Linked DNA regions of Caenorhabditis elegans. The protein of the gene in region 1 interacts with the protein of each later gene in a pairwise test. Each region holds a gene or a part of one and is shown in the gene's direction. Other genes may lie near its edges. The genes, in order: C53C7.3 and scrm-6.

Region 1 (11,859 bases):
GGAGAGAAAAAACAGATCACAAAAATTTTTTTAAAGTAAGTTTTCAAAATGCAGGATAAAATTAATTATTTCAATTTAGAATACAATTTCAAAGTTATTGCTGAAAACCAGAGCAATCCTACAGAGCACCTCGATGTAAGTTTCAAAACCACCAACGTTTTCCATTAGTTTGGAATCTGTAAAAATTAAATGAATACTTAAAATACTTCAAAAAATTTGTTAGTTTTTTTTAAAGCAAAATAATACTCAAATTTCAATATCTAATTTGTAGTCGGTAAAAAAAACCTGACATAAAAATTTTAACAAATTTCAATTTTGCAGATTCTATGTGGCAATTCACAGACAACATACGTTCAGCACATTTGTAAGTGATTTTTGAAAAAATTGCAATTCGTGTGTTTTTACAGGTGCCCAAAACAATATACAACCTCAAAAATTAAAAAAAAGGTATTTTTTTTTCTTATCAAATTTATTTAAAAATCATCATTTCTCAGTTTCAAACATACGAAAGAATTCGCGTGTTAATTTTTTTTTAAATTAAAATATGTTGAAATACAGCTACTACAACAGCTCCCGATATTTAATTTAAAACTTTCTCTTTTCAGAAAAAATTAAAAGGCTAATAATAAATCGACCAAGATTCGAACTACTTGATGTACATATTGATCACATTGCGGTGAGTCTTTATTTTGTTTTACGTACTTGCAAATCCTGTATACTTTCAGAAAGTTGATTTATAAATAACCAAAAAAAATTTAAAAACCCAAAAAAATTAATCCCATGATGTTCTACCGTCGAGAAAGCAGTGAGCCTGCCTCGTGCCAATAAAAGAGAGGTACTACCCAACCGTGACGCCAATGGTAACGACATTTACTATCAAAATTGATAGTAGCCTTAATTTAAAAATGTCAATTTAAAATTTCAGAGTGCAACGCCTCCTCGGCACCTACTTCCGGTAAAAGAGAGCCCGAAATATATTAATAAACGTTTGTTAATCACATTTTTAGTTTTCACTCAAGATTAATAAATTCCAGGATGGATTCCATCAACTGACTTTACAAGAAAGCCATGGAACATGGTCTTGGCCCTTATTGAACTATATGTGAGTGGAGATCACTTGGGAAAATTTTAAAAGCTGATATATCTAAGAAATTTCAGAAACAGTTCCTAATAACAGCAAGCACAAGTGCCTGAACAAAGATTTCAAAGAAGTAGGCTACTGACAACAATTTCCTGATAAGATGGATTCATTTACAGACTCAAAAAAATATCGCGAAAACCCCTTCGAGAATTGTCTTGAAAAACAAAGTGAGTACATATATATGAAATTTGAAAAATAGCTGTTGTAGTGTTTAATTCGATCTGTGAGAAAATAATGAAAACTAATAGTAAGCCGCCATCAGCAACTCAAGCCTGCGTATTTTTTTCTGTAATCTGTGTTTCTGAGCATCGGTTCAAAGATCTATTTCTTACTTCACAATGAAGAATGAATTACTCAAAAAATATCGATATTCACAATAAGGCCCTATCGATATTCACAATAATGCCGTCTGCGCCTTTTTTTGTTTCACCACGTGGAGTCAAAATTTCTTATTTCGATTTGATCTTCAAAAAATGCGGGAGGTGAGACGTAGACATCTCATCTGATTGGTTAAGAGCGTGCTGACGTCACAATTTTTCTGAAAAAAAAATTCCCGCATTTTTTGTAGATCAAATTGTAATGAGACAGCCTGACATCACGTCTTTCACTGTAGTTTTTACTGGTTGTTTTAATCGAAGTTAGAAGTACTTCATGAAAATTGTAGATGTTTCTCTAGTGGAAACAAACAACTGGTTTGAATATTATTTCTTTCAGAAAATTAAAAAAAATCTTGTCATACAACATTTCATTTTCCTTGGACGTCTTCCTTCTCAGACGGAAATCCTTGTTGTATAGACTCAAAATCACAAAAGAAGTAAGCCCTCATTAAAAACCTGAGCCCTAACGTAAAATATTTCAGTCTTAAGCTATCAGCGCTCTTGATGAGATCCTTGGCTCTACAATTGAAAATTTCTCACAACACAACATGAAATGGCTGATGGCACAAGAATTTAATATGACTTCGTTACTTCACTGTTGCGTTGTTTTTTTAAACCCAAAGTAATTTTTAAAAGTTTGAGCTAAAGTTTCATGACTAATATTTTCAGACAGTATAATTTCCGGCTAATGCTCCCGGCAAAACCTTGACTTCGGTCATTAAAAAAGTTTGTTTCAAGGTGTTGGAAGAGACAATGAAAGTTTAATTTTCAGAAATTGAAAAATATCGTCGCAGCCCATCGACGCAAAATTCCAAAAAGTAAACCATATAATGGGCCAAATTAGATGTAATTCACTTAGTAAGTTAAATTTAAATAATAATACTAATAATAATATACGTAGAAAAACGAGTAGTATAATATAAGTACTGAATAAAAAAAATAAGACAACATTCCAACGAGTATTTAATCTAACTGAAACAGCTTTTTTCAAACATTACTTTTATATTTCAGATGTTCTAGAATAGCAACAAAACCGCCGCCTCCCATCGACGAAAAAATCCGAAAAAAGTGAGCAATAGCCTAAAACATAAATATTTTAGGGAATCATTTTCAGATTCATTAAATCTTGTTTACAGTTTCAATAGTGGAAGCTATCCGTCAAGTTCAAAAATGCAGAATTCGTTCAAGATTTACCCATTCAAAAAAAAATGACAGCCATTTATGACGTCATAAATTGGAACAGTGGAAAAACTAGTGCATATTCTGCATCTTCAATACAACTTGGATACTCTTCCAATAGAATGGGAATAGTTAGTTGTAAGTTTCTTTTGAATGAACAATTTAAATCGAAATCCCCAAAAATGACAGACCGTATTCAATAGAACTGACAGGACTAAATTGGAATATTTTCAGAGCAAAACAAGGTCGGAATGACAAAATGCTTAGTCAATGTAGTCATCAGGCTTACAATGTGACAGAAAATATTTTAGTCATAACGAATCAGCATTAGTTTGCAATCTTAAGAGTAAAATTATGAAGAAAAATCATTTTTGGAGTTTTCTTATCATTTACAGTATTTTTCATTAACTCTCCGCTTCCACTTTACATAAAGGTTTGTAAGCCAGAATATAAACTCCTTATAAAATACTGATTTCAGTTATTCCATCTTGTAATGTACAACAATTTATTTCTTGTTTCGAACTCCAGCCATCATTAAGTGGTCTCACAACTGCCACCTGTTGTACATAATTACTTACATTTATCAGGTAAAACTTGAGATGCATTGTTTTTGATGATTTTTTTATTCAGACAATATTATGATAACCACATCAATAGCAGATGAAATGGGGTAGAATGTGATAAAGAATGAAGACTCCATGTTAGCAGTCTCCTGAATTCACCGAATCCCTTCGCACGAAGAAATGTTCCTGCTAAAATCGTTCAACGCCCTTTTGATTTTCTTTTGTTTAATTTTCAACCAAAAAATGTATTTCATTCAAAGTTGACAATAAAAAATCATAAAAACCAGTTATTGTTTCAATTTACTATCAAATCTATACATTTTTCTCACTCGTATACTAAACTTTTCGCACTACGCAAGGTGCAAAAAAGTATTTTTTGCTTTAAAATTGTTTCATTCGCTGATAAAGTAAATATCTGATCAGACAAAAAGAATTCGCAGTCAGCAGGATTCGAACCTACGCGGGCAGAGCCCATTTGATTTCGAGTCAAACTCCTTAACCACTCGGACATGACTGCATGGTTTGAGAGGGGCAGCTAGTGCAAACATAAATTTCAACAAGAGAGAAGTGAGAGAAAGAAAGGGAAGCGGCGACGAGGCGAAGTGAGACTGCCAATTTATATGTCCGGTGGAGCGAGTTTAAAAGAAGCAGTCATGTCCGAGTGGTTAAGGAGATTGACTAGAAATCAATTGGGCTCTGCCCGCGTAGGTTCGAATCCTGCTGACTGCGAAACAGTTTTTTGTTCTTTTTATTGTTTTGTTTTGCATAAAATTGATAAGAAATGTTCCTTATATGGAGTTCTTTGTAAAAATTTGAAAAGATGATGAATTTTCCAGTGTCTGCTACTTCGGTTACAAGCCTAAAAATTATATAGAATTTTCAATTAATACATTTTGACTGGCACGCGATGCCACCCACATTCCCTCATTTCTCTACTATTGCAAACTATTTTTGAGAAACTCCGTCTGTAAAATAATAAAGGTCTGATAGTGGATACGTATTCAATTGTGACCAATATTTTCTGTATCTCTTTAAGATTTGTCATGTAGTTTTTTTTTCGAAAACGATATTTTTAAGCTTAAAGTCTCGAAGTGTTTGAAATACATATAATTCATTTTTATTTGACAGTAATCAGAGTCAATGCAAATTTAAACGTATTCAGCACGTTTAGATAAAGTACACCAAAGTTTAAAACAGGCTCTATTTATAGTAAATCGTTTTTGGGTTCTATTGCAATTGCCAATATCTTGTTGGAATTTTGTTTCAAAAACGTTTCACTCGGGCATCATAGTAAAATTTCTCCAAACTGCACTTACTTATTTTTACTTATTTTTACTTATTTTGAGGATATGTACTATTGTGAAAAAAACATTCTACACGATTGGACATCACAGAGGTTTTTTTTTATAAACTAAACGAATTTAGGATATATTTTCATAAAGAACTTAAAAATTAGTCTTGACAATAGATTTACAAGAAATATAAATTATTCGTAAATGCATAGTGCCAATTATTTACATTGGTTAAAAGAAAAGCATAAAATGATAACTGACTTACTATAAGAATACAAAAATTTCCCGGTGTTCATTTGGAAAACATAAGATAAGGTGTCTTTCAGTTCAGAATTAATATATAGGTTAGTATTAAAATACTGCTAGCAATTTTGTGTTAAAGAATACGTATATCTTTTTATATACTAAATTTTAAGAACATGCTAAAATTGTAACAAAAACGAAGACATTAGCATGGCCATGTTCTAATATTAGATAAAACTCCCTCAAATTTATTATTACCTTTTCCAGGTACTCTCACACATCTATACTTTTCTTACTTCCAGCCCAGCTTTCAATTGTTTTTTCACACGAACTAGTATTTGAGTACGCTCGTATTTGTGTAATAATGACTTCTCTCTGTTTAAGCAGCGATGAGAGTCTCCCTGTGAACCAGCTCTGGCGACTTAAACAACAAGTGCGGTTTGAGGTTGACATGGAAACGTGAGCTTCGCGCCATGAATACCCACCCGACCATTAATATTATCTTACATTTTGATAATGCAGCAGGCAAAAAAGAATGAATAGGTTTTCCGGGGAGGTGCTCATTTCCTTTTTCTCGCTTTTTTTGTTGTTTTGCTTCCTACTACCAAGGTTGGTTAAAAGTTAATGTCTAAAGGACCAAATTTTAGATTTAAGCGTTGTATCTCTTTTTGAAAAGATATTTTGTAGAATTTAAAATCTTCAGGCTTTTTGTTCGAATGCCGACACAAACATTCAACAGTTGCAACTTCAAAACTTTTATTAAGACAATATTTGTGACAAATAGAAGATGTGTGTGTATTTTTGTAACAACCTTACTATAATAGCCATTCCAAACAAAACCCACCACTTATTTCACTAGCTGAAAAATTAAAAAAATAGGTTTCATGAGCATAACAATTTTTATAGCATATTTCATTATTCCTTCTTAGGCATTTTCTCTCCTTCTACTCCTTTTTCCTACAAACAATTGTAGTTTTGATTTAACACTTTCTTTTCTTTTATTATATTCACTAATCTTCTTTTTCTTTTACCTCTTCTACCCGACGAGCACTCATTTACTCGACTAATACTTTATAACTACAATCTACTCAGATGGAGCAAGACGAAAATCGAGATATGCCACCCGTCGAACAAAGGAGTGCGAATCCGGTGAGTGATCCGCTAAAAAAACACTCATGAGAGGTTATGAGTTTCAGAACGTCAATATTCAATCAATTCAACAAGAGGAAAGTGGCGGAGGCAGGAGAAATCACGACAGCGCCAGAAATCAAGAACAACTGCTAGACATTGGTGGGGATTAGATATTGCCAAATTGGCAGTTTAAAGATTAGATACCAAATTTTTTGATTAAGTGTTGTGAGATAGCATATGATTCATTCCAAAATCCTTTTATGAACAAAGCCAGTAAATTATCACATTTATATCTTCAGATGCTTCAGAAAATCCAACTGAAATGAGGTCAGCTGAGCAAGTGGATGTCCAGCAAGAACCTGCACCACCACTGGAACGCCCAGTAAGTGAGACAGTATTACCTCAACCCAAAAATACTCTGTACCCTCTGGCGTTCCCCAGGGAACTGTATCGGGTCCACTTCTTTTTATCCTGTTCATCAATGATCTACTATACTCAATCCCTCCTACCGTCCATTTCTCATGTTTTGCGGACGATATTAAATTATTTGGTCACAGCCCTTCTGAATTACAAGCAGCCATAGATTTAATTGCTAATTGGTCAAAAGATAACCAACTCCCGCTTGCCCCTGCCAAAACCGCCCTTCTTCAGTTAGGCAAAAAGAATTATAAAAATGTTTACACCGTTGACAACATCACAGTTTCCTTCACCAACTCAGTTCGCGACCTTGGTCTCTACACTGACTCCAAGTTAACGTTTCAACCTCATATAAACAGAGCCACTTCTCTTGCCCTCTTACGCGCTAAACAAATCCTCAAATGTTTCTTCTCTTCTTCCCCTAAATTCTATATAAATATGTACAAGACCTACGTTTCCCCTATCCTTGAATACGGATCAGTCATATACTCCCCTCCACCAATATCTAATTTATCAAGCACTCGAATCTCTACTCAAATACTTTTCTAAACGGGTCCTACAGTGCTGCAATATTAAATACAAAATAAAAAATGCTCCACAAACACACAATGCTTTCTCCAAATCCTACCGACTAAAAAAAACCGACTAAAAATTCTAGGAATTTCATCAGCCCGCTCTCTCCGCCTAAGAGCCCAACTATTGCTTCTATACAAAATTCTTACCGGCGCAGCGCACTTCCCAAAAAGCAGTAACTTTGTTACGCTTGCTAACTCGTCTCGTCGTCCGATGCTCATTAAAATTAAAAATCCCAAATGTCGTAGCTTTTTCTCCCAAGTAGTACCAATATGGAATAGCATTGTACGCAACTCTAGCTTTTCCTCTCCCCATCACAATTCTTTTCGCTTGTTGATTGTCAAATATCTAAATTCTGATCTCTTTTCCTCTCACTTAAACTCGCGCTCTGTCGGGCCGAGTTTATTTTAATTTATTCATCTACACGTGTAAATATCATAACCGGTTATGCGTTTCTTATCATATTCTTTTTGTTTCCATGATGAATAAATAAATAAACTGTTGAAAGCTACTTCAATATGAAACCATAGTACGATAGTTATAATTTATTTCCACACTTACGCAAGGTGCTGGATATTGGTTTGTTTTAAATTTATAAGCACGTGACATTTGGCTAAAACTTCTTTGCTACATCTAACAATTTAATACAAAATAGTTCAAACAAGCTGCTGAATTGGTCAGGGCACTGTAAGAAATCTGCAAAAAAAAGAAACGGAAAAGCTAGACTTAAAACCATTCAACAAAACCAGCAACGTGGCAATTTATTTTTTACAAAAAACAATTCGTTTCAGAAATTTTACTATTACAATTTTTTACTATTAAGAAATTTTACTATACTGAAATATTTTGTGAGAATCCATTAATATCATTATAATTTTTTAGATTCTCAATGAAATTATCCGACCAGTGCCGATTCGTCCAAACAACAACAGCTCATATCGCCAGTATGTACCAACTCCACCGCCATCACTGTCTCATATGATGCGATCGCCACCAATCAATGATGAGCCATTGCCACATCCCATTGCTCTGTCACACCAACATGGTAATATTCAATTTCAACGAGAAGATCTCGAGCTCAATGATCAATATGCTAGAAACCGACTGTTAGACCAGCTGGTTCAATTACTCTTGCGACCGCCAGAGGTTCAACACGTTATCCACCAGCACGTATTTCTTCAACCTCCACCACCACCGCCACCAGCATTTTTTGATCATCACTACCCACACTTCCCACCATATGAGCTAAACCTTCAAGATCTACAGGAAGTTGAAGTGGTCCCAGAAGATCCAGTTTGAAGATTTTGTGAGACACGACTTGTATGAGCGATAATTATTTCTGATACTTGTGAATTATAACCCCACATTACATACATTGTGAAACGTCTGATTTTTGAATCAAAACGTGAGGTTTATTTTCAAATTTTCATGCATATAAAAATACCGCCCTTATTTTTAAGCCTAAAGAACATCTGCACATCACGTTTAATTGAAAGCAACAAATAAATGAAACCTTAATTAATTTTTAAAATGTGGGGTTATAATAAACAGGTGTTCTATTTTCTTCGATTTTCCCGACCAAATTAATGTTTTATACTTAAATGTAACTAGAAATAGTCATAAAATCCTCTCCCTATTGAATACGTAGTCTCATTGTTCCAATTTCTTTTTACAACCTCCATCAACCGCACCTGTAAATCCAAATCGATATTTGTGTGCTAATTGGCTGTAACTGTTTACTCCAAACAGCAGGTGCGCTATTCTGCAAGCGTTTCCCATATCTATCTTAAAATCGATCAATAGTTCATCTTCCCTCCCCTGACTACACTCATTCTGTCCATTTGTCCACTCAATCATTCTTTTTATTTTCGATTTTTCTCTTGTCCGCTCTTTAATTGTTTCACAAAAATTTCAATTGTGATTTTTCTCTGTTGATTTCTTTCGGTTTGCAATTTTATTTCTAGTATGTCCAATGTACCACTGAATCAAAACACTATCCTCATTCCACCCAGAAAACGTTATCACTAATTGTTAATAACTACATTATCTCAGTAGGAATAAAAACTCGTTTATTCTCAATAAACCTTGGCACACACGATTGCAGCACTATGTATTCACTTTTCAGTTTTACTTCAACTTGCATGCAACAAAGCTGAGAAGTGCACGACTCGAAGCGTGGCTCTTCAACTCAAAAAAAAGAGCTGATAATATGGATCTACATCAGCATCTTCCATCTTATCAAGAAGCAGATGGCGGTGCCCATGGCAAAGAAACAACCAGCCATATCATCTGTAAGAAATCATTTTTATTAGGGAAGGGGCGATGCAAATATATTGAGCAAAAAGGAGAGGTATCTAGACAGAGGTCATAAATGGGGATATGGGAAAATATGACTGTCTCACTTTATGACACGGCAGAAAAACATTGAATGTGCAAATACCAAATCAACATTAGAAAATTTTAGAAAGTAGGCTCATGGCCTCGCCACGCTCTTCAAAAATCAATGGATTGCGCGTGACGAGACCATTTCGCATAAATTCGTCCTCCTTCAAAATCGTAGAAGTAAAAAAAAGTACACTGTAGGTATATACTCATCCAAATTAGTTTAATGACAACTGAATTGCAATTGGTGTAAAACTGACAAATAATTTTTTTTTTGTTGAAAATGAAAATTTTGAGCTATCGCAGTTTGGAAACTGGAATCAAAAAACACTGGTGTATTATGAATAAACAAGAAAAATAGTGCCATTAAAAAAGGAAAAACTTTAAATCTAAATGGTGTATTTTTGAAAACAGATAGTATTCAGGGTATCTCAATGAAATATTTTATCCATATCACTTCAAGTTTTGTCAGTAATTCAATGAAACTTTTTCAGATAATACAAGTCAGGAGTATCATCAGATTAACCATCAACAATTTGATCAAAATAATCTTGGAGAGTTACCAATCTATTTGAACTACCCACTCCACGGACCAAATCATAAAAAATGGCACCTGGATTTTCAACAGAACAATGATGCGAACGAATACTCACAAAATGGGAATCATGATTTCTCAGGGGCTGAGATGAGTTATCCAATTGAGGATTTTGCCCAGAATACCTTTGCTGAACAGTATGTTGAAGGTGAGTCTATTGATATCCTTGCTTAAGCTAATAGCCACCATGGCAAATAGTAAATGAAGTGCTGTCTTTAATTTTTGTCAACTATCTTAAGGCAATTATTTTTAGATTCTTATCAAAATGCAGGGGCATTGGCGCTTACTGGTCAGAATATGAATATTTCAAATGTACATAACGGAGTTCATATTTCAACGCCAACGGAAAATTTGGCTGAGAACAATGCCAATAACGGGCTTGACGCGATTGGTGAGTTTTTAAATACTCAATTTCTGTTCCTATTCATATGAATATAACATAACATGCTTTCTCATTATTTTTTAACTAGGTTGTTTCGTTTTCAGCTGATCTCGTGAAACCTTATCAAAATGTTCAACTGGAAAGTTCATCGAAACAAAAAGTACAGCGACCAAGTAAGAATAAACCACTTGTATGTTTAAAACAAAACTTTAATTTTTGATTTTTCAGAAATTGCCCACAAAAACTCTTGTGCTCACGGTTACAAATATGCTGTTGCCTATCAAATCTTGAAAGACAATGTTGGATACGAAATACCAGTGGATACGGTCAAATTGTGCAGGGAAAACCACATCGACACAAAAGTGTTGAACATGGTTGTCCGTCGATTGGAGGAGCTAGGTGCTATCGAGAGACCATTGAACCTTCATGTTAGATTTACACCGTAAGTGTTTATTCAAATGTAAAAGTCATGATTGTTGCATTTTAAAGAGAGTTCAAATTCAAAGAAATCGATGAGTTTCAATCAACACATATAGAAATTGAAAAGTTGGATCAAGAAGAAAAAGAGCTTGACGAAATGTTGGAAATTGCACAAAAACAGTTGGCGGAAGTCAAACGCAATCCATATGCATTTTTCACAAGTGCAGATATCAATCTTCGTGGTAATGAAGTGTTGATAGCAAAAGCTCATGATGTCACTGTAGATTGTATGACAGGAATGAATAGGGTTGTCACTAATATGGATGCTGTTAAAATTGATAAGATGAACTATTTGAATAACCGATTCCCCAAAGAAGGTTAGTCAGTTTGTCTTACTATAAACCAAATTTATATTGAATTCATTTTAGCTCTCACCAAGATTGATAACAAAAAATACAAAGCAGCTGCAAAAATAATCGATAAAAATATCGGACAAGACAAAGTTCAATTGAAACAAAAGAGCAAAGATGAAGCTGTAATGAAAATTCTTCGTCAATTTTCCGGAACTAATGAAGCTAGCGATCCCTCCGATGAACGTCCAGTGCATCAAGCTCTTGGCATCAATAAGAAAATGGCACATCAAACTACGCAAAACAGTCAATTAAGAATCACAACATCGGGTAATGAATTAAAAGTGTCAATTGGAAAAAAGTTTGATGAAGCTCAAATAAATAAACTCCAAACCGAGAAAGAATTGAAGAAGAATGCCCAAAAACAAGCAAATGCGGCAAAAATGAGAGAGAAACGAGCAAAAGCGAAAGAAGAACAAGAAGGTCAGTTAAAAAAGAAAATAAATTAGGTGAAATTATTAAAATTACCCACTTGAAATTATGTTTTTGGGAGTAAATTAACATTGTTTCCAAACACCTAAATCATACAGAATGCTCTTTTTTAAGCCAACTGTTTTTTTTTAGGAAGTAGAGCTAGGAAACGTAAAAACACAGACGAACCGACTCTGCCTATCAAACGTCAGGACAGTATTGATTCTGAATGTGCACTTGGACAACTAGATCCATACAACAACCGAATCATGTTCTCAGAAATGTCATCACCAGTTGGATGTTATAATCCAGATCTTGTTCCGGATATAGAACGACTTCGACA
Region 2 (11,859 bases), on another chromosome or scaffold:
GGTTCACCCAGCCTCTATTGGGAAGTGGAGCAATCCACGACTGGATTATCGGCCACAGTCCCCGGCTAGGACGTGGCTTAAATTACAGCCCAGAGGGATCACCACCAGGCAGTGTACCTGAATCCCAGATCCGCAGTGCATAGCACTTGAAGAACGGATCGTCCTTTAGTCCTTTACTCCTTTAATCCTTTTTTATTGAAAATAACCTATTACAGCGAAACAAACAATTGGACACCATTTGCTGACTAAATGCCAAATTTCGCAATTAATTTGAGCAAATATATGAACATTCCGAACCTCTTGATCCTATAACATTTTTAAAAACACATTTTTATACAAATTTTTATTCTCGTACTTTTTGAACCTTTGTCTTACTTTTTTCATACAATCTCAAAAATCAAACCCCATAGACCAGTCCAATAATTTTTTTTCAAAACATAGCTCCAGATGAGCTCCAGATGCTCAACACACCCACGGAATTTGGTCTTACACTCAGTATTAGCGTTGAAACTAAGAAGGTTATAAGCATTTTTTCTTAATACACAATTTCTTATCAATCCGAGAAACTCAAATGTTTTATCGCCTTATCACATTCTCCTTGTGTCCAGTATTATTTAAACTATTTAACACCCACTCATATAAAGGCAATACATTTCTCTAACTTGCTTCAGTACTTATCTATTATTCATTCTCCATATAATCCTAATTTCAGATGATTTCATACAAATTCAGATATACCAAGTTGCACACAACCAATCATAGAATTTAAAATGATTTTACAGATATTTTAGGGGAATCATGTGCTTAAGTTAAAAGTTTGTATTTCAGCAACACTTGAATGCATACCAAGTGACCCCAAAACATTCCTGTTCGCTTATTCAAATGATTTGGAGCCAAGTGTAGTTGTACCAACATTTGATGTCGTGAAGATTTACATAGAGGATGATAACTATAACACGTTTGCACGCGTTCGATTTGATACCCACCAAGAGGAAGAAATCGATTACTATTATAGCCTCAAGTAAGTTTTTATACAAGTAAATTTTCATTGTTATCAAATTAGAGATTTAAATACATCGATTCTTGATCACCTTCCCGATCCTTCCCTAGGATTCGGAAGTAGTTCAATTGGTAGTGACTCGTTGAACATTGTTGAGGTATGTGATATAGATCAGAACATAACATTAAACATATAAAAAAGTTCAGAAATTTTACAATAGCACTCAGTTTTCCACTTGCGGATCCATTGTTCTAATACTATCAAAGCGAAACCCAGATGAGAATGATATTTCTAAACTAATAGCTAAAGTTCGATCTCACCATGGAATGGTTCATGTAATTGCATCAAATACTCCATCAGGTGGATCCCAACCACTTACCCTCTATGACCTCTCATCAAAAACAAATGGGCTAGCCGATTTCCGGATTGATGATGAATTTGACGAGGTGAGACTTTTTATGGATTATTTTCAAATTAAAACAATCCAAAACTCTTTTCAGTCTGTCATACCCTTTGCTGGGCTGAACTATCCCATAGTTAATTACGCGGTGAATCCATTAGTATCCGGCAATGGCTCCACTGTACTGCCTCCACTATACCAAGCTCATCGCAGCCAAGCCAAGCTCACAGTTACTGTTCAAAATCATGGTATACATTCTTAACGTATCTTTTTATAAGCATAAATTAAGGAACAATTGATGCACTCCAATCATTTGACCTCTTCTGGTACAACGCTTCATCGTCTACCAATGGTGGTTATGGTCTAGATTATCTGGTACAGTTTTTTTTCGAAGAAGATGTAAAAAATTAAAAAAAAAAGGATTAAAGGACGATCCGTTCTTCAAGTGCTATGCACTGCGGATCTGGGATTCAGGTACACTGCCTGGTGGTGATCCCTCTGGGCTGTAATTTAAGCTACGTCCTAGCCGGGGACTGTGGCCGATAATCCAGTCGTGGATTGCTCCACTTCCCAATAGAGGCTGGGTGAACCTAGGGGGTGAGGCCGGACTTGAACTCGTGACCTCCAGACTGCTAGCGGCCACCACTACCGACTGAGCTATCTGCCCCCACCTTTACGAATATACATACATAACAAAAGAAAAACGGGAACATCCGTTAAAATTCAACATTTTTGTCAGAAAAATCGACGAGACCCATTTAAAATTTAACTGGCAAAATGCTAGGCCGCTCACATTTTAATACTTTTTTTTGTTTTTTCATAAATATTTTATACAATCCCTTCTTCCCATTTTTATTAGGTTTTTTTGTTAGTCCACTGCGTACAATAAAATTTTTTTTTAAAGTAAATTATTTCAGAGAAATGGCACGATTGAGTATGATTGGTTGACTCTTGATGCGGCTATTTACAACATGACCCTTGAATATTCATACTCGGACAATACGCCATTCAAAATGCAGATTAGACAATACGTGATGATGTAAGATACAATTTGAGAGAGTTTATCTGAAAAATAACATTTCCAGCGATACTGACTATTGGACGCCATATGCTGACTGATTATCAACTTTCGCTATTCGACTTACTTCAATAAATAAATACATGCATACGAAGAATTATTTTAACAACTTCTTATCAGTTCCGAAATACATAAAACATTTTCATCGCCTTACTTCCTTTTTTCCGTCTCTTGTATTATTTCATAAGCATCACATTGCTATAAAGTCTAAGTACCTATTTGATAAGACATTGCATTTCTTCGAAATGCTCCTCCACTCTTATATTATTCAATTCCCTTGCAGTCCCATTTTCAGACAGAATCAGTTGCACTCAACCAGTTCTAAAATTAAATATGAAGCTAAAATTTAAATTTAAAATAATTTTACAGATATTCCAGGAAGACTTTAGGTTTATATTGTTTAAGTTATATATTTCAGAAACCCTTGAGTGCCTACCAACTGACCTGAAGACACTTTTATTTGCGTATTCAATTGATTTGGAGGCCAGTGTTGTTTCGGAATCGGCCAGTACCCTGTTTGGAAACTTGGACTACTATGTAACAAAATTTGCAAACGTTTAATTTGACACTAGCCAATCTGCAGAAATATACTACAGTTATGATTACCAGTAAGTGTTTATACATGTGTTGGGATGTTTTTGTTCGAAATTTTCAGACAATTGGTTTTGGCAGCAGTTCAATTGGTAGTGACTCGTTGAAAATTGTTGAGGTAAAGCATAGAAAAGATTCCGGCGGAGGCGCTGCTGCAGCGCCGTAATTCGTCGTAGAAAAAATTGGTAACTTCGCATTCAAGCATTCAAACCTAGCCTTCAATAAACATAGAAAAAATTTTTTTTTTCAATTTCAGAATTTTTACGACAAATCTCTATTCTCTGTTTGTGGATCTGTAGTTGTGATTCTCTCGAAACGAAACCCAAATGAAGTGGAAATTACCAATCAAGTAGCCAAAATTCGATCTCATCATGGAATAGTTCATGTAATTGCATCAAATACTCCATCAGATGGATCCCAACCACTTACCCTCTATGACCTCTCATCTAAAACAAATGGACTGACTGATTTTCGAAATGATGATCAATTCTACAATGTGAGGTTTCAGAGAGCGTTTTCCACTACTAATTTATTTCAGTCTGCAATTGATTTTTACGGCTTAAATCGACCTATAGCTTTTTACGCGGTAAACCCTGTAGTGTCTGGAAAAGGTTCTATTGTACTGCCTCCACTATTCCACACTCAACGCGAGGGAGCTGCCTTTGCAGTTACTGTACAGAACCATGGTAGAAATTCTGAGCTGTTTATCATCACATATTAGCATTACAAATTTAGGCCCTATTGATACATTCAAATCATTTCACCTCTCTTAGTACAATGCTTCTTCAACTTCTAATGGCGGTTTCTATGGTTATCCAGAATCCCAGTACTATGAGGTGAAATTCTTCCAAGTATTAATACTATACCGCTTCTTACAATATTATGATAACTGGAGACTGCTCGCACTAATTTTAGATAACTAATTTTTATTTCGAGGATACTACTTTTGAGAGTAATAACCTCATGATTAGAAACTGTTTCAATAATACAATAGCTATTTCAGAAAAATGGCACAATTCGAACAGGTGGTGATATTCTTAATGCTGCTATCTACAATATGACTTTGGAATACTCATACTCGGACAATACCCCATTCAAAATGCAGATTAGAGCATACACTTACATGTAATATAATGTTAGTGCTAGCTTATCGGAAAAATAACTTCTTTCAGGTATCTCGACTACTGGTCACCATATGCTGACTAAATACCAAGTTTTGCAATTCATTTGAATAAATATTTGAACATTTCATTAGCTTACTTATCTGGGAGTTTGATAAAATTTGTTTCACAATAATTTTGCAAAAATTAAAATTCTGCAACACCATCCTGCATGGAAGAATTTACGTATGCTCCTAGTTGATAACATTGAAACTCAGCAAACGCTTGACAAATTATCACTGCTTGTGCAAGTACTGGTTTCCAGTTCCATATCTGTTGTGCTGATTGCCAGGAGGTACTGTTGTCGGGTTTCATGCTGTAAAGATCTACGAAACGAATATATAGTTTAGCTGCTTAACTATTGAAAATCTATTAGTTTTTGTTCTGTGATGCAAATTCAGGTCGGTGGTGAATTTGAGAAGGTTTCGGAAGAAATTAAAATTTTTTTTTTGGATCCACGGGCTGAATAAATAAATAAATAAATAACACAATTTTAAACGTGAACATAAACTTTCTGCCCTTTCTGCCTTTCACCACGTAATCAATTTTCAAAACCACAAATAAAATCAATTCCTTCCTTCGATCGAAATTCATTCATTTTCGAATTGTGGACAGCACTCTGATATGTGAGTTTTCTTATTACTTTCAGTTTCCTCAAAAACCGGCTAAATTTTCCAGAAAATGAAAAAACAACCGGGACAGCAACCATTGAGATCGCTTAGCTTGACGTCTGCGGCCAAATCACTTGAGGAGGTCGAGCCGGAGGACGATTCGAAGAAAGGCGAGCCACATGCCAAGGCTGCAGGATTCGGAAGAGGTGGAGGTGGTGGAAAGAGACTCCCAGCGGCAAGATCCACGCCAATGGTCATTCCGAACCAGGTGGCAGCGATGCCGGTTCAGATGACTGTAAGCCAAAGAGTCTAGCTAATGGTGACCGCTCTAAATTTTGACTTTCCAGGGCTTCGTCCAACTTGCCACCAACAACATCCTCAGCGCAATCGCCCATACCAACTCCCTGATGGTTGTCCAATGCATCGAACCACTCGAGATCTTCACCGGATTCGAAACCCCGAATCGCTACGTGGTCCACGACATGTACTGCCGTCCTCTGCTCTATTGTATGGAGAGATCAAACGTCTTTGCCCGTCAGTACCACGGAAACAATCGTAAATTGTCCGCCTCTACCCTGGATTCATGCAGGAGATGTTCACCGATGCGGACACTTACATTGTTCACTGTAAGCATTTAAATCGAAGTTTTTAATCTGAATTTTGGAATATTTCAGTTCCAATGGACATGCCGCCAATCTTGAAGCTTCTGCTTGTCACTTCGGTTTTCCTGATCGATTTCACATACTTCGAGGATCGTAACCAGGATCGTCATCATCATCATGGGATGCATGGCGGAATGCATAGCAGCTTTTGAACTTTTTATGAGCCCATTTTACTCGCAGACTAGAATAAACTCGTTTTTTTCTCCACAGTTTTATAGCTTTTCTGTAATTACAAGCTCACTTTTTTTCAGAAGTTGATTCTGTTTTTTTGGGCACAAGTGCTTAGATTTTTCCCCTATATCCCAAGAAGTAGTTGATTTTTATTTAAAAAAAAAATGCTTTGTAATCTGAATGAAAATTCAATTTTGCAAAACGTGACCCCCCCCCCCCCCCCCCACGTAATATCTTCTCCCAGCATAATCAGCCATTCCTACTATTGTTCATCGTCATCGAATGTGAGTTTTCTATCGCTTTCTTCTGGGACCCCAAAACCTTCCAAATTTTCCAGAAACCAATAAAAATGAATAAACAACCCGGAGAGCAACCAGTCAGCTGTGCGACTTCAACTGGGAAATCCGAAAAGGAGCGGCAGAAGGATGAGCCGCCGAGGAGCCGAGCGGAAGCTGGAATGATGCGTGGCGGCGGGAGACTTCCACAGCCACGGGATACTCCAATGGAGGTGCCGAATATGATCGCAGCGATGCCGATTCAGATGACGGTGAGTTACTGACGATTGGAGATTTAGGACGCAGTGCGTGCCGCGTTGCGTGTCGCGTTGCATGTCGCGTTGCGTGTCGCGTTGCGTGTCGCGTTGCGTGTGGCGTTGCGTGTCGCGTTGCGTGTGGCGTTGCGTGTGGCGTTGCGTGTTGCGTTGTGTGTCGCTTTGTGTGTCGCGTTGCGTGTCGCGTTGCGTGTCGCGTTGCATGTCGCGTTGCGTGTCGCGTTGCGTGTCGCGTTGCATGTCGCGTTGCGTGTCGCGTTGTGTGTCGCGTTGCGTGTCGCGTTGCGTGTCGCGTTGCGTGTGGCGTTGCGTGTCGCGTTGCGTGCCGCGTTGCGTGTGGCGTTGCGTGTCGCGTTGCATGTCGCGTTGCGTGTAGCGTTGCGTGTGGCGTTGCGTGTCGCGTTGCGTGTCGCGTTGCGTGCCGCGTTGCGTGTCGCGTTGCGTGTGGCGTTGCGTGTCGCGTTGCGTGTCGCGATGCATGTCGCGTTGCGTGTGGCGTTGCGTGTCGCGTTGCGTGTGGCGTTGCGTGTCGCGTTGCATGTCGCGTTGCGTGTCGCGTTGCGTGTGGCGTTGCGTGTCGCGTTGCATGTCGCGTTGCGTGTCACGTTGCGTGTGGCGTTGCGTGTCGCGTTGCGTGTGGCGTTGCGTGTCGCGTTGCATGTCGCGTTGCGTGTCGCGTTGCGTGTGGCGTTGCGTGTCGCGTTGCATGTCGCGTTGCGTGTCACGTTGCGTGTGGCGTTGCGTGTCGCGTTGCGTGTCGCGTTGCGTGTCACGTTGCGTGTGGCGTTGCGTGTCGCGTTGCGTATTTGCATTCGTTGCGTTCTTTGATGTGGAATACACGTATTTTCCCACATGTAGTCCGTGGCGATTGTCGATGGAGCGCAAAAAACGCTACGAGGGAGGTCAGAAGCTCGTGTACTATATTTCTGGTCTGTTAGGTTTTCTGTGACGTCATACCCAAAAACTGGGACATATGACGTCACCGTTTGTGGGCGGGGCCTGCCGTGTGACGTCATCGTTTTTTTTACCATTCGTGGCGGGACCCATCGTGAGAAATGTTAGCGAGAAATTTGTTTGGCGGGAAAATCAAATTTTTGGAGCATTTTTTTGGCGGGAAATTTGACTTTTCAGAAAAAAATATTTTGGCGGGAAATTCAAAATCCGCAATCTAAACCAACATTATTCAAGGGATTCGTGGACCTCGCCCCTCACACCATACTAGACGTCCTGGCTCAAACCACCTCCCTCATGATCGTCCAATGCCTTGAACCACTCGAGATCTTCACCGGAATTGAGACCCCCAATCGCTACGTGGTCCACGATATGTATTGCCGTCCGCTGCTCTATTGTATGGAGAGATCCAGTTTCTTTGCTCGCCAACATCAAGGATCCCAACGCAACTTTGCTATGCAGTGCATGGATATTTTCGGGGCTCCTGTGATGAATTGCTTCAGAAGTCGGCCATGCTGCTCTTGTGATGACTTCCTGGCAACTGAGTTCTTGGGCCAGAGGATTGGAATGATGAAGAGAGAGTGTTGTGATGATAATGTAAGTATGTCGATGCATCACGGTTTGATCTACAAAAAATGCGGGGTAATTTTTGCCCATGCAATTTCAGTTGAGAACTCTGCACCTCAACTCCCGCATTTTTTGTAGATCTACGTAGATCAAGCCGAAATGAGAAACTTTGACACCACGAGTCGATGCACCATGTCCCAAACTAGCGTTGAAGCTCATATCTCGGCTCTTTTTCTAGATATCAAAAAGCTCTCAACTACAGAAGTGTAGTAAAATTAGTACCTAGTATTTTGATAATTGATAACTTTTGATAAAATTTAAGTCAACAGAGAGCTGTAAGCCTAGCCTATGATAGTCGATGCACCATGTCCGAAACTAGTTTCGCAGATTAGAATACCATTCACATTAAATTATTTTCAGTTCCATCTCGTGGGCACTGGGAGCAACGAGCCGCTTCTGGTCCGTTCTCCAGGATGTGCATGCTGTGGTGGCACGCAAGTCTTCCCGGTCATGACCTACAACGGCGCAAAAATCGGAGAAATTGTTCGTCTCTACCCAGGGTTCATGCAGGAGTGGTACACCGATGCGGACACCTACATTGTGCATTGTGAGTTGCATCACTAATAGGCCTGCAAAATAGGCCGAGTGTAGGCCTTCTCCTCATGTAAAATAGTCTTTCAGTCCCACCGGATCTTCCACCAATCCTCAAGATCCTGCTTATCTCCTCGACCTTCCTCATCGACTACACATTCTTCGAGAATCGCGGAGGCAACCAACGTGGAGGATATGGACATGGTGGCTATGGATACTATTAGAGCTCTTTTTTAAAGTTTACTCAAAGAAAACCATTTTGTGCTCAGTTAAGGATCTCGCCACGAAAATTGAGAATACGGTAGTTTTGGTGGCGACCCACACAATTATCGCCGAAAAAATATTTCGGAAAAGTTCAAATTTGAGTTTTTTTCGTTTTGAGATGTTATGTAAAACCGATTTTTCAAAGAAGTTAGGCTTACTTTTAGGCTTAGGCTTAGGCTTAGGCAAACACTTAGGCTTAGGCTTAGCCCTGGGCTTAGGCTTAAGCATAGGCTTAGGCTTAAGCTTAGGCTTTGGCTAAGGCTAAGACTAAGGCTTAGGCTTAGGCTTAGGCTTGAGTTTAGGCTTAGGCTTAGGCGTAGGCTTAGGTTTAGGCTTAGCCGAAGGTTTTTTCCACCATTTTTCGCTGAAAATTCCATACAATTGTTTTTTAATCGTAAGTACAGGACTATTAGACGGAAAAGGCGCGTTATCTAAAAATGAAAAAAAAATCTAATTTTTGGAATGAGGGACATGCCTCTAGACAGGCCTGGGACACGGAATCCGGATTTTTTTAGATTATATTGAATGAATTTAGTGAATTGCATGTATAGATCAAAAATCAACAAAATTCCTACACAAACAATTATTTGAAGTAGTAAAAATCTGAAATTTAAAGCTTTATTATTTTAAAAATTAGGAGTTTTCCAGAAATCGGTTTGATACTTGGTGTCCAATTGGTCCCTCTTGAACGGGAACACTACATAATCAAAGAAATATATTTTGTGGAGTAAATCTCGAATTACTGGGTCTTCGCGTACTTGGCGTTCTGCTTCAAGTCGATGAGACGACTTGTGTGTGGAATGGGCGGTTTCTCCGCCTGAAAAATAATTATTTTGGGAAAATATTTACGGATTCAAGTTCAAGGCACCAAGAGCTTTTATTTAAGTATAATCACGACTAGGTTCGGACCACTTTGGGTCTCGCCACGACAGCCGGGTACTGTAGTTTTCGTGGTGGGACCCAAATTAATCGGAACCTAGTCATGATTATACTTAAATGAAAGCTCTCGTTGAGCTGAGTTCGAATTAAACAATGTTAACAAAATTAAAAAAAAAACTTTTCAAAAAATTTGGGACCGCCGGAAAAAAACGGGGGGTACTGTAGTAAAACTCGATAAAATTGAACTAACTAGGAGCTTTCTTTCAAGTATAATTACGACTAGGTTTCATTAACTTTGGGTCCCACCACGAAAGCTACAGTAACCCCAAAAAAAACCTACCCAACGCGTCATTCTGTATCTTTTCCACAGTTTTCTCACTGAATCCTTGTCGTTTTAGTATATTTGCCAAATGTAGAATCGAGGATCTTCTTTCTTCAAGATCCGCACCCATCATTAGTAGGGAATACTTTTTGATATTCTCGTTAAAGTTACAGTACCTAAATAGGGCCAGGTTGGTGGAAAAATTACGTCTCTAGCTCTTCTGGGAGCTGAGTTGTGGGGGTTTAAAGTTTAGGGCAGGGGGGAGAGCGCAGACGACGAGACACTCTGCTTCTCTGCGTCTCCTCCTTCTTCTCGGCGACATCAAGAGAGACGCAGACAGGCAGAGTGTCTCGTCGTCTGCGCTCTCACCCCCTTCTTTCCAAACTTCAAACCCCCCATATCTCAGCTCCCAGACGTGCTAGAGACTTCATTTAAAATCTACTTTAGATCAAATTTTTAGTATTTTAAACTTACCATGACAACGGAGCAACATGCTGCTCAATCGAGCTGGCTTCATGTAGTCTCCTCCGATTGCTTTTTATCCGGTTTAATGTCTCATATATCCGCTGAACAAAGCATGCCATGTTTGTACCGCAATTGTAGCAAGATTTAGTACTATAAAAATCTAATTTTGCAAGAAAACGGAATTTTAACTTACTAAATACATTTATCCAGGTATAAAGAAATGAATCGATGAATTGGATCTCGAATAAAAGCGAATCGGACCAAATCTGGATCATTTAGCAGTTCAAAGGTAGGATTTAGGAATTGGTCCTCTTCAAGACATTTTCTGGAATTTATTCTTGTTGTGATGTTGCATAACAGTTATATAAGCAATTTGCCGCATTTTCAAGAATTTTTTAGGAAATTTTTGGCTGAAAATTTTCACTCCGAAAACAATTTTATAGGACATTTTCTGAAATTTTGGAAAATTATTAACCGTGCTCAAATTGATCATTGGATTAAGCTCACTGAGAGCTTTGAATTAAGTATAATCATGACTAGGTTCCGACTACTTTGGGCCCCGCCACGAAAACTACAGTAGAAAACTACAGTTCGTGGTGGGACCTAAATAACCAAAATAGCCTAAACCTAGTCATGACTATACGTAAATAAAAGCTCTTAATGAGCTCTTTCCGAATTTACCATTTAATTTCAATAAAAGTCCTCCAATTTGGACTCCGCCCACCTACAGTACCCTGTCAAACTAACCTCTCCGTAGTCCAAGTGTCATTCAGACTGTTATGCTGAGCCAAATATTGATTTTCATCGTATAAAAAGCACATTATATTAGACATTAATTGACTCATAGATTTCGGAATTCCACATCCCAGAAGCTTTTTGTCAGGGGCCACCTGAAATTTTTGGAAAATTTTTAAAAAGCTAAAAATCTAAACTTTTAACGCAAAAAATCATTTTCAAACTGTCAAATTCGAGATCAGCACACCTAGAGCTTTCAAATGACACCCATAGAGACTAGGTTCCGATTATTTTGGGTCTCACCACGAAAACGGGGGTACTGTAGTATTCGTGGTGGGACCCAAACTGCACGGAGCCTAGTCATGATTATACTTAAATTGAAGCTTTCGGTTAGCTAAACTCAACTTTGGAAACAAAATTTTGAAAAACAAATCACTTTGCTATCAACTGTGTCCCGAAACGAAAACTGGGAGTACTGTAGTTTTCGTGGCGAGACCCAAACTGGGCGGAGCCTAGTCATCATTATACTTAAATGAAAGCTCTGGTTGAGTTAAATAAGAATTTAATAATTGCAAGCCCAAAAAATCAGAAGTTTTCGAAGAATCTCACTTACAAAGAATCCATGATCAAAATCGACGAATGGCGGAATGAAGTCCTCAACTGAAATTTAAAAGTTATCGATTTTTTGAAAATTTCCATAAAATTCTTATAAATCAAACCTACCTCCAGTAAAATTAACAATTTTCTCATCAACAACAATAGAATATTTAATATCTCCGTAGAAATAAAAGTAGGCTCCAAAAAATGCAAAAAATCCCAGAAAAAGCCAAAAATATTTCAATTTTCTGCAGGTAGAAGAAGC

What was found.
Region 2: the proteins of C53C7.3 (region 1) and scrm-6 interact in a two-hybrid assay, tested with the Caenorhabditis elegans proteins (one large-scale study listed by BioGRID).

What each region holds. Positions count from the first base shown.
Region 1 is NC_003284.9:13,042,671-13,054,529, forward strand, and holds C53C7.3 (uncharacterized protein), read left to right. Parts: upstream 1-5,887; coding exon 5,888-5,944; intron 5,945-5,991; coding exon 5,992-6,085; intron 6,086-6,234; coding exon 6,235-6,308; intron 6,309-7,798; coding exon 7,799-8,215; downstream 8,216-11,859. Other genes in the region: K03A11.1 (TBPIP domain-containing protein), read left to right, coding at 9,126-9,207, 9,793-10,041, 10,147-10,284, 10,380-10,448, 10,504-10,717, 10,765-11,072, 11,124-11,528, 11,670-11,859.
Region 2 is NC_003279.8:11,247,328-11,259,186, forward strand, and holds scrm-6 (Phospholipid scramblase), read left to right. Parts: upstream 1-5,928; 5' UTR 5,929-5,957; intron 5,958-6,010; 5' UTR 6,011-6,022; coding exon 6,023-6,220; intron 6,221-7,411; coding exon 7,412-7,771; intron 7,772-8,161; coding exon 8,162-8,348; intron 8,349-8,422; coding exon 8,423-8,556; 3' UTR 8,557-8,600; downstream 8,601-11,859. Other genes in the region: F46A8.11 (DUF7154 domain-containing protein), read left to right, coding at 943-1,021, 1,066-1,157, 1,207-1,446, 1,501-1,648, 1,690-1,775, 2,318-2,439, 2,486-2,519; F36D1.8 (Carbohydrate sulfotransferase), read right to left, coding at 9,223-9,413, 9,816-9,973, 10,272-10,412, 10,456-10,587, 11,010-11,152, 11,611-11,657, 11,721-11,859.